Kluyveromyces lactis: one gene and its partners. The main gene of each other region encodes a partner of the protein of the gene in region 6 in a complex. Links are inferred from orthologs where the notes say so. Each region holds a gene or a part of one and is shown on either strand. Other genes may lie near its edges. The genes, in order: MRPL24, MRPL13, RML2, MRPL23, MRPL39, MRPL15 and MRPL22.

Region 1 (2,593 bases), on a different chromosome or scaffold from region 6:
GATGATTACCCGGAGGAGTGTTTGGGAGGGTATGGGAAGTGAATGGAAACCATGAGATGCCTAGCCTGGGGTCTAAGTGGGCAGTCCAGCGGCCAGTTTGGTGGAATGTCCAGGCCCAGACCGGGCAGTCCAGCTTAGGGAGGAAACGGGACAGGCCCTGCCCAGCTCGAAGCAAGCAACGAAGACGGATGGGATGTGTCTGTGCATCCTACCGTCAGCTCAGCGGATTTGGTGGACATGAGAAAATAATTTCCTAGTATGGAAACATTCTCATTTTCAGCAGAAATTGAGTATGTATGGGTGCAACAGTCAATAATGTCTGGGTGCAACAGTCACATGCACACCGTTCAATTCAATTGAACAGTGGGTGATTAACTCTTGCATCGGTCAGTCGGACAACTAACGCATAGTCTTCAAGCATCCTCCCAGCTCATGGTAGAATCTATTTTCTCATTGTTTACAAGCTTTTATATAAAATTGGAACAAAATCTATTCAGTTCTCATACAGTAATCGTACTCAAATCGAAATTCAAGGCCTTTAATCTCGATACGATGTCTGCCACGTCACGGGTAGCAAATTGGTCCATGAATTTCTTAAACGATAGATCTAATCCATCCGCTTTGTGTTCCATCTTTTCCAATGGGAAAAGGGTATGCAATAGTTTACGCTTACCAGCAGTAATTCTCAATGGTTCTCCATCGACAACAACTTTGTACAATACGGTGACTTCGTTGCCATTGGCATCTGTGACAGTCTCAGCGTCCTTATGTACAGGATTGGCAGCTTTTTCCTTAGAGTTCAGTAGTCTGTAACGGAGTTTCCAACCAGTAGGTCCCAATTCCTTAATTCTGGCGGCCTTTTCCTTAGTCAAATAGTTGTCAATACCACCTTCCTTGGTAATTGTTCTTAAAACTTTTGCTGTCATCTTAATACTAATCTTTCTGTTCAAAGTCTCACTCCATAGTCCTTTTCTAATAACGTTTGGACTCCATGATCTCCTGGTTTTTGTCTTCGATTCAGCGATGTTATTACCGAATTGGATGAAAGACGCACCGTATAAACCTTTGTTACTCTGTTTGTAAATTGGAGATTCTCCGTATGGATAATCAGGGAATTCCTTCTTCTCCTTTGGGATATATAATGGCTTGCTGTCGCCGACTTGATACGTCTTTGGAGTTGGGATCTGTCTGCTTTCAACTAATCTCCATTCTCTGAGGAGGTGGCTAAGAGTGGAAAACCCTCTTTGGGAACTTGGAAAAAACTTCATTCCAGATGAACGATCTCCGTGCTTATTGGTGAACGTACAGAGACTCTTAGACCAACTAGCTTCATACTAGGTTCAAGCTCCTTCTCTTCACCTTAGTGCATGTATCAAGTCGTTATTTTCTAAAATTTTGAATAAGCTTTGGAAAGATCAAAACCGTATACAGCGAGAATGGTAAAGCATAAGGAAATTTATGATTAGAATACACCTCTGCGTAATGGTTGGCGGTATCATGTATGTATGAAGGGTATGTATATATGTACGGCTGGATGGATATTGTGAATGAGGTCCCTGTTGCAATTTTTCTCATTTCTTCCATGGTGATTTGAAAGCCCAATTCCCGAGACGATTTCCCTTTGGATTGGTGGCATCTTTGGTCCAAGTCTTACCTGTGCGTAATTCATAGTTCTCTTTTTCTAATTCGTCAAGGCGTGTTCTGAGCTCTTGATTTTCGTCCATAACTTCCAGATTTCTTTCCATTGTTCTATTCAAATCTGCTTTCAAATCTGTGGGAATTTCAGCATCTGGATTAGGTAACGTTTGTTTATAAAGTTCACGTTCCAGTTGTTTCTTCAAATCTTCTATCTCTAGTAATAAATCCTTATTTTCGTCCTGAAGAGTTTCCATCCGAAGTCTGTTTTCAATTAGTTCATTGGCAATAGTGATATGCTCTCTGTTTAATAGCGAATAGTCATTTTCTAATTTCTTCAACTCTTTTTGAAGCTGTCTGTTTTTAATTCTTTGTTCCTCATATTGTTGTTCCTTTTCCGTTTCCAACTTGTGAATCTCATCGTACTCTTTCACGTAACGCTCCAATTGCAATGGAGTTAATTTGATTTCCAACGAATCAGAGATGAATCTATCAATATCGTACTCTTCTGGGTTCTCCTTAGAAGCATAGTGTTGGAAAAGGTCCTCCTTCAAGAAGTCTAAGAGAGAATCGAAACTGAGAATGATCAAATTACGACTGTTCTTTAACATCAACGTTAAACTGAATTTTAGCATCGATTCGATACCTTCAAGTATGACAATATCCATGATTCTGAGAACGAATTCAAGGGGAAATTTGTATGCGAACATCGTCAGGAACCATTGAGTTGCAAACATTGTAGATCTTATTCCCTGCCTGATCAAATGGTTATACAATTGAGGATCATTTTCCTCCAAAAGTGTATCAAATTGGTACAATTTCAACATCAGGCCAGGCATTCCCGGCAAGAATAAATCCCTTAATCCGTATACTTTCATGAGTTTCGTTAATAGAGAAAACGCTTGCCATTCTTCTTCACAGTTCAATATTAAAGTAGTAGCAATAAAACCCATGCCCT
Region 2 (2,712 bases), on a different chromosome or scaffold from region 6:
ACATGAATCTAGATAAGATTGATTTATTGGTTCATTATAGATATGAGACTGTACCACAAGATGCTGTGAATAGATTAATCCAAAATAGGTTCAAAAAAAATGTGCCTTCTCATCCCAAACCATCTAACCAATTAATTCCTGGAATTCCCAATGAAACCCTTCTTCCAGCAGTAATTGTTGCTCTCGGTGCGTCAATTGCCGTGATATTTTCGTTATCGAGAAAACACTAGGTATACAATCAATGCCACGCTCTTTTCAAACCTTATATAAAAGTATATATATATTCACATACAATAATTTTTTTTTGGTGATTGATCTCTCATACTAATGGTTATAGTAACATTATGTATAAGTATTTATATTATGTACAGGATTTAGATTGAAGGAAAAGTCAAATCAAAGATCTGAAAAGCGGCCGACTGGCCTAGTTCAAATGCATTGGAAAAAAAGATATGCGATAGTAAATATAAACAACCCAGAAGAGAGATTGTTTTCGGAGTTTAATCCCTTTTAGCTTTCTCAATAGCGTCTCTTTCATATTGAGCTTCCAATGCGGCGACCTCTTCCAAGATTTTCTTCACCTTCTGTTTTTTCACAGATGGTTTGACATCGGGAACCACGTACACGTTTGGTGGGAATTTGATATTCGATAAATCAATGGCGTTTGGTTCCGATTCCTTAAATTTCCCTAGTTGACCACTTAGTACTTTAATCTCAAACCACGATTTAAATTCCAATGGAGTTTGTAACCTTGTAAGTTCGTAGTCTGGGATAATGTGTCCTGATTTGCATTGTAGCAGTTTACTGAATTTGAACTTGTTTACCAAATTTTCGAAAGGTTTCCCCAGTTGTTCTTCCGTTGGGACATCACCGAAAGTTTCCTGATAACTTTCCAAAACAACCTGTTCCAACTGTTGTTCGGTACTTAATTTATCCTGAGATAACCACTCGTTGAATGGGACGACATCCAACTTTTGTAAACGAATAAGTTCTTCTCTTCTAGATGAATCGATACCAACAAAATCATCATCTGTTAACTCTAATCTTGTGACCGTTGAGCTCTTCACTACAGTTGTTTTCCCGGACTCGATCTCATTTATAACTTCTTTTGTATCTCTTTGCAATTCTGGCTGTGTTGAAACGACACCAGCATCTTTGTTTTTATTTCTTCTGAACCATGACAAGAAATCAGAGCGCACTGCACTTGAAGTGAATTGTCTTGATGAACGCACTACTGGCACGTACCTAGACGCTAGCATCATTATTCTTTTTTGTTTTCGATTGAAAAATATGCACAGTACCACGCTTTAATGAACTGATATCAACCGCCAAATCAGACAACACTAGAAGATACTTCTGTGCTTAAGCTCATCAAGAACTTGACCGTTCAATTAATGTTCTAATATACAATATCTTCATCAAATTGTAAGTTTATAGTTTTTAGATGAAATTTTTCAATTTTTCAATTGGGCATAGAAAGAATGTAGTCCATATGGGAAGGTTCTAAAGAGAGAAAGAAACAGGATCTGAAGCGATAGATAGTTGCATCATAGTGGTCTTTAACAACGGGTCGAGTTAAGTGCGTACTTCCTGGTTTGCATGATGTTCACTGTATTCAGTAACTAAAAGCTGCTTATCTATGTAGCCCGATAGATAAAGAAGACGGGGTTACCCTATTCAAAACACCCACAACCCACATACTAGAATATGAAATTTATGCTTCCCAGTGCTTTTTATCAACATCTATAGTAAGTGTAGTTCCTTTACCTTAAAGCCACCAAGGCAATGAGATAGTTTACGTTTACTAACGAATTCTAGCATCAGTAGCTACCGAAAATCTGCCTAAAACATTTAAAATATTATGGGAAATGTGCTAAGTTGCTGCTTTCGTCAAGATAGCGACGAAAATGACCCGTTATTGCAGGAACAGGACAGGTACGGCTCACAAGCCCAATTAGATTATAACGAAATGGAACAACGACAGAAGGAAAGAGTGCTTGCAAGAGAACTTGAATTGACCGAAATCGTGAATAATACGAACGATAAGCTTATAGATATAGGTATGATCAGCAACAGCGGTATCGTAGCATCCTCACACGATTTAGGTTCGAGCTATGTGCAAGATCAAAGAGAAATTTTACATGACGTACCCTTAACGGTACTTCCCAGTTCGAAAATAAAACAGGACACAAGGAAGGCGATTCAAGAATTTCACAAAAAGTACTTCGCTAACCTAGTGAAAAACCTTACCGTGGAATATAACAAGCCATTGGTCGCCAATATCGAATCGTGACGCAATAGGTTTCTGCACTATTAGCGCACTCAAAATGGGTTCACCAAATGTTGAAATGCGATATATCACTATATACGTCTGAACATTTCTCAATCTTGTAAAGGTACTTTCACTCTCTTTATTGAAAACATTGAAATATACAAACTTTGTAGAATAGACATATAAAACAATACGCAGTATACGATTTTGGTTTGTCAAAGGAGCCAATTAGGTACGGTTAGAGTAAGTGCCTTGACTGCTGCATATATACTGAAATTTGTTCATTTAAGAAGCCAAGGAAGCGAGGAGGCAAAAAAAAAAGCATAAACAAACTGGAAAGCGCCAAATACTATGGCTGTGAAAAGAAGCAGATCAGAAGATCCCAGTGAGGAACCCGAACAAAAGCATTCAAAACAGAATTATGTACCAAGATATACACC
Region 3 (2,845 bases), on a different chromosome or scaffold from region 6:
TGAGCATGTTGGTGTCATTACTGATTATACCACGCCAGGTCTAACTGAATTTATTAAGTTGATTATAAGAAGATTCTTGGATATTCCTTACGTGGAAACGGAATGTGGATATGCATGTAGTGATCACGGAAGTGCAACGAAGAATGGATTCCCCGCTTCCTTTGTCATTGAAAGTGAGTTCAACAAATCTAACAAATACATTCACAGTACGATGGACACTTTAGACAGACTTTCATTTGATCACATGGCCCAGCATGTAAGGTTAGTCGTTGGTTCCTTATTCGAACTTGGGAACTGGGAATTTAAGCTGGAAGAAGAGACCAAATGATGCTCTGGATGTAGTAATCTAAACTTTGTTTAAAATAGAGTTGGTAACTGAACAGATGTTATGTTATTTCTTTAAATTAACTAGTTCTACGATATTTACAGGATGGAAGTCATTGAAATAAGTTTACAAAAACTGATGATATTTAAGATAGGATCAGTTGTGGGGAAGCTTATCATTGTCTAGCCTTTCTACCAGCCTTACCTCTTGGTCTATCTTTAACCTTCATTTTGTTTTGATGCTTACCCCTTCTTGTCTTGTAACCCTTGGCCAATTGACCCCATGGAGACATGGACAACTTTTTGGACTTAGATTTACCTCTACCACCACCGTGAGGATGGTCACATTTGTTCATTGCCACACCTCTGACAGTTGGTCTTATACCCAACCATCTAGATCTACCAGCTTTACCTAGAGAACGGTTTTGATGGTCAATATTTGAGACAACACCCATGGTAGCTGCAGCTTCCAATGATACGTAACGGTGCTCACCACTTTGTAGACGGACAACAGCTTTATTCTTTTCTGGGATCTTGGATAAGATACGTGCGTAAGAACCAGCAGCACGACAGAACTTACCTGGACCTGTAGGAGTGATACCAATATTATGAACGATGGATCCGATTGGGATCATAGAGATTGGTAGACAGTTACCTCTTTGAGCTGTTCTAACAGATAAGATGGCAGGATCGATCTTCCCACCCATTTCTTTCAAAAATGATGGTGGAATACCTTTTCTGTATGATTCGATGGTATCCCCAGCTCTTAGCCCATCACATGCTAAAATGTAGCTTAGGGCACCAGTATCGTTATGTTTTATCAATGCAATATGTGCACTTCTACCAGGATCGTATTCGATTCTTTCCACAGTTTGCATACCAGATTCGAAACGACTGAAATCGACTGTTCTCAATCTTCTTTTATGACCACCACCACGATGTCTCACCGTGATCTTACCACTATGGTTTCTACCACCATTTCCTCTCTTGGCAAGAGTCAAAGATTTAACAGGTCTTCCCTTATGCAAATATGGATAAATTGGCGCACGGTACCATCTCAAACCTGGAGAAACCGGTTTCAATTTCTTCATTTGTGTAACTTCCTTAGCCAACTTTCTTCTTCTTCTTAACAATTCGTCTTGCTTCTCTAGTGCTACCACATCTGTGTTATTAGGAACGATTTTCAACATATGGACATTGACATCGTCAACTGAAGATTGTTCTTCATTCCCGGTTGGAGTGATGCTGGCCATAGATCTGATTCCACCAAGTGAAGTATTGTTCAAAGACATTATCATCGAAACATTCCACGGAACTTGAACTCTTGAGGAGACGCCGCTGGCAAGCGGCGTCAGGCATCTCAAGTTGAATTGCTTGAACATGATATTATATCCAGAGCACCTAACGAGATTCTTAGGGTAAACCGTCTAATACCAATATCTCCGCTTTGCTACTGCCCTTCACAGAAATAATAAAATAACTCTGATCTTAATAAGATTTGTTATAGATATATCCACCCTTATATATATCAATATCCATAGTTTAAAATGTTTAAGTCATTGCAATTACATTGTTCATTTTTGTTAATATCAAAATCTTTCAAGCGATCTCTAATTTCAAACAGCTTCAATACCATCAGAGGAATATCGTCAAATGGAATTTTTTGCAAGAAGTATCACTATGAACGTATTCTGAATTTACCCGGATTATATAATATTTGGTCACGTGATTCAGGAAATCTTTGTGTACTTATTTTGTGCCCTAATGGCAGACCAGTCTCTCATGGTTAGATTGACTATTCTTTCTGTTTTATGGTTTTTAGTTTAAATAACTGGAAAAGTGAAAAATTTTGAGGTAAGTTTCTATCTCATCACGAATACTTTATTATCCGTTACAAAGCTTTTAATTAGAGTTAGAGACATAACCAACAAGGATTCGATTTGTAGTGTATCAGGAACAGGAGTTCCTGTTCGCAACGTATTCTGTCTTTTTTACTGAACTCAAACGGAAATCAAATTCCTCTTCATGTCGGGAAATGAACAAGTAAAAGGAACGACGAAGATAATGACTGTCTGTATGGAAATACCATCATTTGGATTGTTTTTTTTTTGAGTATATCGATTATGATGACCGCTGTCGCCCCAAACGGATTTCGAAAATATGAACGATTCGACTAGCATTAGCCAAACACTGAAAATTCTGATCAATCGATTACTTTATTAAAATAAACTGTCCAGGCAATACAGTACAAGTTATATCTTCTTGTTTGTTTGACTTTCTTCATTTCCGGATATATTCGGGTAGTCGAAGTGTACGTTAGATGTGTCAGTGGATTACTCGGCATTCTCTATCTTAAATATATAGACCTATTAATGATGAACTAAAAGTTTCCATGCTAATCATGAATAAAATTCAAAATTTTAAAGGATTAGAAACACGCTTTTTGTTATCTCTAACAGTCCTGAATACGTTTATATATAGCATTAGCTGTTCCATTCTTGTACTTGTAACTTGTGCTTTT
Region 4 (2,360 bases), on a different chromosome or scaffold from region 6:
TCTCTCAATTTGAGACAATCTGTAGAAACATTATCTGGATTAGTTCTAAAGTTGGAAAGCTATATTGATAAATTAACCGAGGAAAATACCCGCAAAGATGAAATTCTTGCTGCTTTGGAAGCAAAAGTAGATCGTCTTTTGGAGCAAGGGAAATAATATCAAATATGAAATACATCCTTCCCTAATTCTTCTCGTTTTTGTTCTGTTAAATGTTCTTTCTTCCAGGCAAAAGTATTATGCTTTGGCATACTGCGATGTAATATCTTTTCTATCTCTGTATGTGATTTGTATGTGATTTGTATGTGATAATTAACATATCTAAATAACAATCTATATGTACATAGTAAAGTGGAAGAGTTTAGTACAGTGAAAAACGACAGACATTGTATGCGTACTAAGGAGAACCATTTAGATCGAATAATAATATATACAGGGATTTTACATCACATGCTGCCGTTAACTTCTCAAAAATTAAGAAGTCACATAAAAATTCATCCACACTATTTCTTCTGGTGTTGCAGCTCTAGTTGCTGATCAGCAAATGCGGTGATATTACTCTTGTATGGATGTTCACTTCCATCGAAAATTTTTAATCTAGCAAGTCTGATCTTACGAAGTTTATTCTTGGGAAGCATTCCGGACACAGCCTTCTTCAAAACTTCACTGTAACCCTTGTTACTGATCATGTCTTCCATTGTAGTCAACTTTAATGAACCTGGTCTAGAAGTATGCGACCAGTACGTCTTTTGGGTCATCTTGTTCCCCGTCACACGCAAAGCTTGGCAGTTCGTTACCACAACATAATCACCGCAATCAGCAGATGGATGATACACTGGCTTGTGCTTCCCCATTAACGCTAGAGCAACCTGAGATGCCACCCTACCAAGCGTTCTCTTGTCCTTGGATATATCAACATGATGCCACATCCTGGCAAATGCCAAACCAGTATGTCCTACCTTTTGAGACATACTTCTAATATATTGTTATTTTGCCTCCTTTCTGACAGGTTAAAACGTGGCACCTAAAAAGTTAAATTTTAAGTGATGCTATTCAACTGTAATCACTTAGGTAAAGGGATAGTTCGGGACAGTCAGTTGTCTTTTAACTCATCATATGTTTAGCTTGACAATCGATTTGATTAATTGATGTTTAATTTCAGCTTGGAGCCAAATTTTTTTCAATCGCTCATATTACTGTTACCCGGATGTTAAACACAATCTATATACAAGCTACTAACAAATACCTACAACTCATCCTGAACTATGTCGTCCTTCGTAAGTTTAGTCTTCTGTTTGTTCTTTTTAGTCTTGGACTTCTTTGACTTTGATTTATTCAAAATAGATTTGAGGTATTCTTGTCTCTTACTGAGTGGACCTTCCCTTGGTTTTGACTCGAATTTCGAAAGGAACGTTGCAATGTCATTTTTATCTGTAGTTTTTAATATGTCTAGTTCGTCATAAGTATCTGTTTCTCTATCTATCACTACGATTCTGGGCGATTGTAATTCAGTTTCACTTTTTTCTAACGATTGGAGGTATTTAACAGTATTTGGCCAATTCTTTGTATCGTTCTCAAAACTCAATTGTGACACGCCTTGCAATTTCTCGTCCCAGATCGAATAGAAATCGTAGATCCCAAGCCAATCGAGGGCTACAGATTTATATAAAGTTGGAATCTTCTCCTTCTTTGAGATAAGCACTACAGCGTACCTGGTTCTTGAAGATTTTAATAGTTCTTCGAACTTACTGTAACGGTTCAACCGCTTCACGTAGTTTTTCACTCTAGATAAAGCGAAATCGACAATGGGCTTCAATTTCCTTTCTCCCTTGTACACTTCTGTGGCATGCTGTGACGCAGCACCATTGGAATTTTTCTTTGGGTTATCCAAATTGATCTTTGGAGGCCTGAATACCATTAACGTTGGGAACCCCGATACTCTGTTCTGTGCACATAATTGTTTATTCACACTTTCATCACAGTTCACTCCAGCAACTTGTACCATTCCAGAGAGGATTTTACCGGCAGATTTCATGGAACCTTTCAATTCCTGACAGTAACCACACCACGGAGCATAAAACATGACCAAAGTGGTGTAATTGGTCCTATGAATGACTTTATCGAAGTTAGAAGGTGTCAATTCCATGATATTCTCATCACGGTCGTAGAAATTGGCTCCGAACGCCAGTTCGACCAACAAAAACAATGCATATAGAAGACGTGTGTACATCATAGTCTGGAGGACTTTAGAAAATGTTCAACGATGGAAGTTAACAAGGTGGTTTACTCTCTTCTCTTTTTGTCAATTTCGAGTGATGTTGAATTTCTTGGCAGCAGTGGACCCAAAGATTTGATTTTGAAAT
Region 5 (1,849 bases), on a different chromosome or scaffold from region 6:
GTGGCAGTGGTAATAAATCACAACGATCTAAAAACACCGGTGGAAGTTCCACTTGGGGTAACAATCAATCGCAGCATAACTCAGGAGAGAGATCCGCATGGGGCAATGCATCCCAACACAACAATAGCGGCAATAGATCTGCTTGGGGTAATCAGGATGCTAGAGGTGGTGGAAGTACGTGGGGTGGAAATAATTAGAAATAATCATACAAGTTATTGCCTCACGATAATTTACAAACCTATCAATTGTTCATCTTATTATCTCCAAATTACTCCACGCGATGTGGATGTTGTATATATAGTCTTGCCCAAATTAGTCTCAGAAACCAATTAAATAAGTGAATTAAGTAAATGTAATTTAGTTAAAAATTTCGTTTCTTTACTACAAACCGATACTACTATAGAACTCTTAAATCACGTCTATTTCAACGGTAGTTATTGCAGTGTGAGTGTTTTCTATATACATGCAAATGGTGTGGTTAAATTGTTAAATACAATTCATTAACGTCTTGCGGTACGTAAGAAGTCCAATGGTTTCCTCTCTGCAACCTTTCTTTTCTTGGCCTCTTTGAACAAAACATGACGTTTAGCTACAGGGTCGTACCTCACCTGCGTCACTAATGGTGCAGCTCTATTTATCGTGACATGACGGCTCACACCTGTCATAGCAGTTGATATCAGTTTGATAACTGTAGTCTTTGTCTTAGCCTTGGCCATCGTTTTCCTGTTCGTTTGCAGTTTATATATGATATCCTTAGCTCTGTGAAATTCCTTGAATTTGAATTTGAGACAGAGAAGTACGCAGGATAATATTACTTTCTGCCCTTAATACTTTCCGATGATACACCGTCCTATGCAGAAATTGATGAACTCCCACTACTTTCAGTATTGATTGGGTCGGATACATTGCTAAAGAAGAAGTAATGGATAATCAAAATTTTGTCAAATCACTACATACGTTTTGATGAATATGCAATATACATAAAAATGATCCGTACTTCATATCACGTGAAACAGATACATATTCACAAGTCAAGTTAAGTATTCGCATATAGTTACTCTACGCTTTTATCAACAAGAAGGTATTAACTGAATTGATTGGTGTACACAGTACGGTATAATTAAGGTAACTAATTAGTGCTGGAGCTTACGGATCTCTGTTACACCCGTGCAACACGATATACATTACTGATGAAAATTTTGAAAATTTTCCAAAGCTCATCGCATAGAGACAGAGGCAAAATCAGCGAAAGAGAAGAGAAAAAAATGGAAATTCAAATGAGTTCTAAGTTACCTGCTAAAATAAACGTAATGGTAAGGTGACCCTAGAAGGTGCATAGGGTTTCATCCAGCTGTTTGATAGAAGAAAGGAGTATACTGCGCCAAGTGTATCCGATTTACGTGTTTCAATAAAGAACTGAAACAAAAATTTGAGACTATCATCTGTGCGAAGTTTTTTTCTTCAAAGAGAATTAATTGATATCGATCAGATTATCTACAGACCCATAACTTGAAAGGAGGATATTTGACATACCTCAAATCAGAATTGGGCTTCTTAATTGTTGATAGTATAACACGCGTCTAGAAATTAAAGGAATTTTTTCTACAATCCTATTTTTTTAAGGAGATAATACAAAGATTCACAACATGTCAGCTATTCCTGAACCAAGAATCATCGAGAATGACGATGGTTCCAAAACCGTCATCAGTTTCAAAATCCAAGATGGTAAGAAGTACAAGGTTACGCAGAAGGTTAAGGAAATTACTGTCACCGAGAAAGTTAACAAGAACATCGCCTTGAGAAGAAATTGGAAGAAATATGGTGCTGATAAGGGAGCTGCCCCAGGACC
Region 6 (2,464 bases):
AAGTAAATTACCAGCAAAAAACATCCCTTCTATGAAGTTATATATGTATTTATATACATGTATTGTATTATGTACTTTTCTTAATCTGTTTTTATTTTGTATGTTAACATTTAATTAATGATAGATTTAGTTGTAAATTTATGTACGTCTATATTTCTAGAGATACATGAGATATATACAGTGCGCGCGTTTCTTTCGAGGTTCATTTTTAATTGAAGTGTGACGATGGAGTGTCGTTAAAAGGTTATGCTTTTCATGCTTTTGGTAAATTCATTATAATAAAACGTTGAAATTGAGCAGGGATGAAAGAGTAGATTAAAACACCACATTGACCAAGAGCTGTGATTGAAACTTCCGTTTCGAAATATATATATACAAGTTTTGAAAGCTCTTTCCCAACTCCGATGGAGACCATTCACTCGAGTGCTTTTTATTGATGTCGAAGTCTATTGTGTATTCCATTTCTCTTTCTTTCCTGTCGTGTAAAATTAGACATAATATTATAACTTCTCGGTCGTATCCCTGTTTGCTAACAAACTTTCAGATATCTTCGTTAGGGAATCACTATTGTCGCTGAATAGTTCATGCAACACGTATTCGGTGGCCTTGTCTTGACCGTGCAATAGATAGACACTGCCGACCACAGAATTTAGCACAGTTTGTAGCACGGTATACTCACCGTTATATTTGTGACTTTTTTGAGTGTCTCGTTTGTTCCAAAACACTAATTTATCTAGGTTTCTCCTTTGCAAAAATTCAGCCGTACTCTGTTTGGATATTAACATTTTAGAACTTCCCTTCCCAAGCATACCGAAATTTAGTCCGTTAATAACAGGTTCAGACTGTACGCTTTGTGATAGTTGCCTTTCAGAAACAGGTAGACCCAAGGAATGAAGACAAGCTTGATATTTCACAAAATGACCACCGATAATAGACAATTTCTGATTGTATGGTTTAATACCTTGGGCAAACGACTTGTGAGTCAAACATTGTGTAATGATGTCGTCTGGCAAGTCAATACCATATTTTTCCAAATTCAAACCTTGCTTAACAGTAGATACATGGCCATCCTTGACAAGAGAATCATAGTGCAAACCGTGTGGATTCTTCAAAGACTCAACTGGGTCTCTTTTCAAACCACGTACCCTAGTCCCAACGTGTAGATAAGAACCATTACGCACGCCGAATTTTGTGCTTAAGTTAAGACCAATTTTGGTTAAGGACATTATTCCAGAAGTAAAAAAATACTGTCTGAATGGTTTCTGTCTGGTATTTTCACAATTCAATCTTCCTCGACCGAATATCAACAGATTGTAATTACACAGGACACAAATATTAGAATTATTGAATCTTAATTCTAACAGTTTAGTCCTTTTAACTACGATTCAAACTGTTTCTTTGTAGTTTTTCGACTCGAGGCAGCGATCCAAATTTTGAAATTTTTCAAAATTTTTCAGATCACTCCAAACGAGGTCATCGCTGTGTCTAAGTGCTATCTTGTATGATGGGAATACATGCAATATCAAGGCATTAGGTACTGTTATCAAGGGAATATGGTCATTATGGGCTGGTATTATGAGGGCTTAATACCAGCTGTATCTTAAAGTAAGCTTTGCTGCATCTTTATGCCTTGAGAAGTACTTTTATATCGATTTTTACACTTATTGTACCCTAAGTTTTGTGAAAAGAAACGCTTCAGTAAGATCAATTTTAATTGAAAAAACTGCAATTAGATGTAGGCGATGAGATGAGATGAGATGAGATGAGAGAGTAGTAAGAGATTGATTATATCACTCACAGTGGTTTACTATCGAATTTATTCTCATTACTAAGTAACTTCTCACAGGCCAATACTAGCACCGCTAATTAACATGGATATCTTTAGAGTCTTGACTCGTGGAGCTAGCATAAGGAAGAATGGTGATTCTAATAGAACACAGTCTGCAGACTTTAGCATGGCTAATGAAAAGAAGAGTAAGACAGCTGGCAGCTCAAGTACACCAGCTAGAGATGAACAACAATTGACTAAGGAGTTGGATTTTTTCCGTAATAAGAAAATCATGAATAAGGTAAAGTCTGAGTCAACCAAAGGTGAAGGTGAAGACGAAGTACAAGAAGATAATCAAGAAGAAGACGAAGATCATGCTGATGACGAGACTGAGTTATCCGGGAAAATTATCACGAAACAAGATGCGTTAAAGTTACGTAAATCTTATCAAGGGAATGTTTCAGGGAATAGTGTTCCTTTGCCCATCGGTTCTTTTGAAGACTTGATCACAAGGTTCCAATTCGATAAGAGATTGTTAAACAACCTCATAGAAAATAACTTCACTGAACCAACTCCGATTCAAAGTGAATCTATACCGATTTTGTTGCATGAACGTGACATGATCGCTTGTGCTCCCACAGGTTCTGGTAAAACGTTGGCATTTTTGATCCCACTACTGCAACAGATAATCAACGA
Region 7 (2,824 bases), on a different chromosome or scaffold from region 6:
GAATCTGCGGTTTACCATAACTGGGGTGAAGTCTCTGAGGCGCAAGGTATTGCTGTTGTTGCCTCTTCCAATATCATTATTTTAATTGTCTTTGCTGGTGTCTTAGTGTTGCAAGGAGGTTTGTGGTACAGTACCTGGGAATATGAACAAAGATTAGATCAATGGAGGAAAGACCAATTGAAGGAATCTGCCGCTAACCAACAGAAGGCGGAGAAAACTACTGAACCAGCTAAAACGGAATCTAAGAAGAAGAAATAGACGAAATTTGTTTCCTTACAGTTTGATGCGGTGAAGTATTTCGCGTTGCTTTCACTATTTACAAGCTCTTGTTCTATATATTATATAAATGATATGAAATACTTGGCTATTCCGACATGGATAACTTGAGATGAAACCCAAAGACAATCTAAGGACCTTATTATTGATGATTTAATTGCTGTATATTATCTTCACCCATTATCATTGGAAATAAACGTAATATGATAATGTTTAATATCTCATTACCATTTGTAAACACCACCCATAGAACCTCTGATGGGTTTATCTGCTAATTGAACCCACGGTTTCTTCCTTTGTTCTTTTAGTTTGGCTTCGTGCTCTAGTCTTCTCTTCGTTACACTCTTGGTCTTCAATATGCATTTGATATGCACATATGGGTGTTCAATGAGACCACGTCTACCTCTACCCTTCCATTCGACACGTTTTTGCCAAAATCCATCACTGCCGGTCCATATCTGGGAGATGTATAGGTCATTGGCATCCAAGCCAAGCTTCACACCATCATTAATACCGCGCTCCAATAATTCGGCAACATCACGGGCAACCTTTTTATCGGAGAAATGACATTGAGTCAAAGCTTTCTTAGCGTCCAATCCGTTCAAAAGTCTAAGCAGCTGTGTGGCCTTCTTCATAGATGATTTTACTCTGTAAGATTTAACATAGACACTAGGTTCAAGCACTTCTAATTCTTCATTCGTTAATCTCAAAGAACGATCTTTAGGGCGCACGCTTTTGTCGTAAAACCCACCGTTCAACCTAACCTGTTGTTCATAGAATTCCTTCTTAACTCTTGGTAACAAAAATTCTGGTAAACTTTTGATCATGGGGTCTTGTTCTTCGATATATTTCTGTAATTGTGTATCATTGGCTGCTGTAACTTTCTTTTTAGCCTCTGCCAGCTGGGTAGCAGCATCCAAATCATCTGACAGTTCGGTAGCAGTAGTCAACTTATTAGATAGTTTATTTGGATCGTCATCCTTCAACGGATTCACTCCATCGGTGACTTCACCGAATAGCGAACCTTGTGCAGATTTTTGTAGCTGCAATGCTGAAGCTTGAAAACTTCTTACACCGGAAGCCTTTCCCAAGCCGAACAGGCTAGTTACTGTCCTCGATAGCATTAAATTTTATATAGGTTGAACTGATGACAGAGCCTGCAACTAACCATGTAATTTACACGTGCCTCTAGTATTATACTGTAGGCATTTTATTACTTTGATCAATCCTTCTTCTGTACAATGTTTGATTATCAAAATTTTTTTGTTCGATGGTTAGGAAATATAAATCATCGTGAACGGGCATGAAGATATAAGGAATGGTTCTACTGTGTGGAGGAAGATATTGAAGTCCGACTATCTTGACGGGTTGTAAGATCACAAATTAGAAAAGCGTTAGTGTGGAATTGCTAGGAATTAAACCTTAAATATGAACTATATAACTGAAGATGCACAAAGAAGTATATTGAATAGAAGGGAAAATTTAAGTACAAATTTGAAAACTTTGTAATTAGAGTTTGGTAAGATCAGTGTTCGATTAGTTCCGTTAAATATCCGTGAGCGTTCTGTGGGTTTTCATCGTAAGTAACTGACATTTCAGTGTCATGTGTACCCTCATCGGTGGAAGATGACACAAAGGATGAATGTAGTGATGTTGTGGAAGGCGTCTGAGACTCTGGATCTGCAATCGATACAACATATTCGTCGTCGAATGGATTTGTCGTCTGTGGCCTCCTGACAGAATCTGCAACATATGGAGGCACTGAGGGCAAACTTTTTGAAACTTTGTTATTATTATGAGCAGTCGTCGATACTCTGGTTGTAGTCTTGGTGGTTTGCTGAGACTGTGCAATAAACGTTCCGATATCGTCGTATCCCATTTTTCTCCCAATGTCGTGGGAGAAGCTCTTTTCGTGTTCGATAAGATTTCTCCTTCGTCTCTTCCTAAATAATAAATAGATCACCAGTATCATTAGCGCCAGACCTCCCACGCTTCCTATTACACCACCGATTATTGTATCTTTATTTGATCCAGACGATGTTGAGTTGGAATCCAATGCGCCAGATAGCCATCTTTCGTAAAAAGATGTGTCAGTCACAACTGGACCTGTAGGTGTAGTGAAAGTAGCCTCTGTGGGTATCACTGTAAGTGTCGGTAGTCCTTTAGTAAAGGTGGTTGAAGTGTCAGTAAAGATGAAATCTCGTGTGTAATAAACCACAGTTTCAGAAGACGGTACTTCAGTGGTCAACGTTAACCAAGTCGGTGTAGGCACAGTGGCAGTAGCTTCTGTACCCTCAACAGATGTGTATTCTTGGGTCGCGGTGTTCTCGGGATAAATTGTTTGCATTACTATGTTGCTCGGTCCTGAGCTCATCTCAAGTACCGTCACCATTGCCGTGTCTACATCTGTATGCGACGTTGAATCATCTGTTGACGGCGGTACCCAAACTGTAGATGGCGATACTATGCCAGGTGAATCCGAATCCGAATGTGATCTGTTTGGATATACCAGAACCGTCCTGGTCTTCATACCATGTGGCTGCTGCGT

Evidence for each region.
Region 1: MRPL15 (region 6) and MRPL24 share a complex: the UniProt entries of both Saccharomyces cerevisiae proteins name them as parts of the mitochondrial large ribosomal subunit. The link is inferred for Kluyveromyces lactis from reciprocal best matches to the Saccharomyces cerevisiae genes MRPL15 and MRPL24.
Region 2: MRPL15 (region 6) and MRPL13 share a complex: the UniProt entries of both Saccharomyces cerevisiae proteins name them as parts of the mitochondrial large ribosomal subunit. The link is inferred for Kluyveromyces lactis from reciprocal best matches to the Saccharomyces cerevisiae genes MRPL15 and MRPL13.
Region 3: MRPL15 (region 6) and RML2 share a complex: the UniProt entries of both Saccharomyces cerevisiae proteins name them as parts of the mitochondrial large ribosomal subunit. The link is inferred for Kluyveromyces lactis from reciprocal best matches to the Saccharomyces cerevisiae genes MRPL15 and RML2.
Region 4: MRPL15 (region 6) and MRPL23 share a complex: the UniProt entries of both Saccharomyces cerevisiae proteins name them as parts of the mitochondrial large ribosomal subunit. The link is inferred for Kluyveromyces lactis from reciprocal best matches to the Saccharomyces cerevisiae genes MRPL15 and MRPL23.
Region 5: MRPL15 (region 6) and MRPL39 share a complex: the UniProt entries of both Saccharomyces cerevisiae proteins name them as parts of the mitochondrial large ribosomal subunit. The link is inferred for Kluyveromyces lactis from reciprocal best matches to the Saccharomyces cerevisiae genes MRPL15 and MRPL39.
Region 7: MRPL15 (region 6) and MRPL22 share a complex: the UniProt entries of both Saccharomyces cerevisiae proteins name them as parts of the mitochondrial large ribosomal subunit. The link is inferred for Kluyveromyces lactis from reciprocal best matches to the Saccharomyces cerevisiae genes MRPL15 and MRPL22.

What each region holds. Positions count from the first base shown.
Region 1 is NC_006040.1:1,064,461-1,067,053, forward strand, and holds MRPL24 (mitochondrial 54S ribosomal protein bL28m), read right to left. Parts: upstream 1,269-2,593; coding exon 501-1,268; downstream 1-500. Other genes in the region: KLLA0_D12584g (uncharacterized protein), read right to left, coding at 1,572-2,593. UniProt on the Saccharomyces cerevisiae protein: Component of the mitochondrial ribosome (mitoribosome), a dedicated translation machinery responsible for the synthesis of mitochondrial genome-encoded proteins, including at least some of the essential transmembrane subunits of the mitochondrial respiratory chain.
Region 2 is NC_006037.1:258,004-260,715, forward strand, and holds MRPL13 (mitochondrial 54S ribosomal protein mL50 MRPL13), read right to left. Parts: upstream 1,263-2,712; coding exon 501-1,262; downstream 1-500. Other genes in the region: KLLA0_A02893g (uncharacterized protein), read left to right, coding at 1-230; MEH1 (Meh1p), read left to right, coding at 1,862-2,293; RSC4 (Rsc4p), read left to right, coding at 2,624-2,712. UniProt on the Saccharomyces cerevisiae protein: Component of the mitochondrial ribosome (mitoribosome), a dedicated translation machinery responsible for the synthesis of mitochondrial genome-encoded proteins, including at least some of the essential transmembrane subunits of the mitochondrial respiratory chain.
Region 3 is NC_006037.1:183,120-185,964, forward strand, and holds RML2 (mitochondrial 54S ribosomal protein uL2m), read right to left. Parts: upstream 1,707-2,845; coding exon 501-1,706; downstream 1-500. Other genes in the region: KLLA0_A02013g (putative aminopeptidase), read left to right, coding at 1-328. UniProt on the Saccharomyces cerevisiae protein: Component of the mitochondrial ribosome (mitoribosome), a dedicated translation machinery responsible for the synthesis of mitochondrial genome-encoded proteins, including at least some of the essential transmembrane subunits of the mitochondrial respiratory chain.
Region 4 is NC_006040.1:210,499-212,858, reverse strand, and holds MRPL23 (mitochondrial 54S ribosomal protein uL13m), read right to left. Parts: upstream 969-2,360; coding exon 501-968; downstream 1-500. Other genes in the region: CRN1 (coronin), read left to right, coding at 1-156; protein disulfide isomerase MPD1, read right to left, coding at 1,244-2,230. UniProt on the Saccharomyces cerevisiae protein: Component of the mitochondrial ribosome (mitoribosome), a dedicated translation machinery responsible for the synthesis of mitochondrial genome-encoded proteins, including at least some of the essential transmembrane subunits of the mitochondrial respiratory chain.
Region 5 is NC_006038.1:66,590-68,438, reverse strand, and holds MRPL39 (mitochondrial 54S ribosomal protein bL33m), read right to left. Parts: upstream 717-1,849; coding exon 501-716; downstream 1-500. Other genes in the region: transcription elongation factor SPT5, read left to right, coding at 1-197; TIF35 (translation initiation factor eIF3 core subunit g), read left to right, coding at 1,647-1,849. UniProt on the Saccharomyces cerevisiae protein: Component of the mitochondrial ribosome (mitoribosome), a dedicated translation machinery responsible for the synthesis of mitochondrial genome-encoded proteins, including at least some of the essential transmembrane subunits of the mitochondrial respiratory chain.
Region 6 is NC_006039.1:1,528,070-1,530,533, forward strand, and holds MRPL15 (mitochondrial 54S ribosomal protein mL57), read right to left. Parts: upstream 1,227-2,464; coding exon 501-1,226; downstream 1-500. Other genes in the region: KLLA0_C17380g (uncharacterized protein), read left to right, coding at 1-6; RNA-dependent ATPase ROK1, read left to right, coding at 1,872-2,464. UniProt on the Saccharomyces cerevisiae protein: Component of the mitochondrial ribosome (mitoribosome), a dedicated translation machinery responsible for the synthesis of mitochondrial genome-encoded proteins, including at least some of the essential transmembrane subunits of the mitochondrial respiratory chain.
Region 7 is NC_006040.1:702,031-704,854, reverse strand, and holds MRPL22 (mitochondrial 54S ribosomal protein uL22m), read right to left. Parts: upstream 1,401-2,824; coding exon 501-1,400; downstream 1-500. Other genes in the region: SHR3 (Shr3p), read left to right, coding at 1-258; TDA7 (Tda7p), read right to left, coding at 1,802-2,824. UniProt on the Saccharomyces cerevisiae protein: Component of the mitochondrial ribosome (mitoribosome), a dedicated translation machinery responsible for the synthesis of mitochondrial genome-encoded proteins, including at least some of the essential transmembrane subunits of the mitochondrial respiratory chain.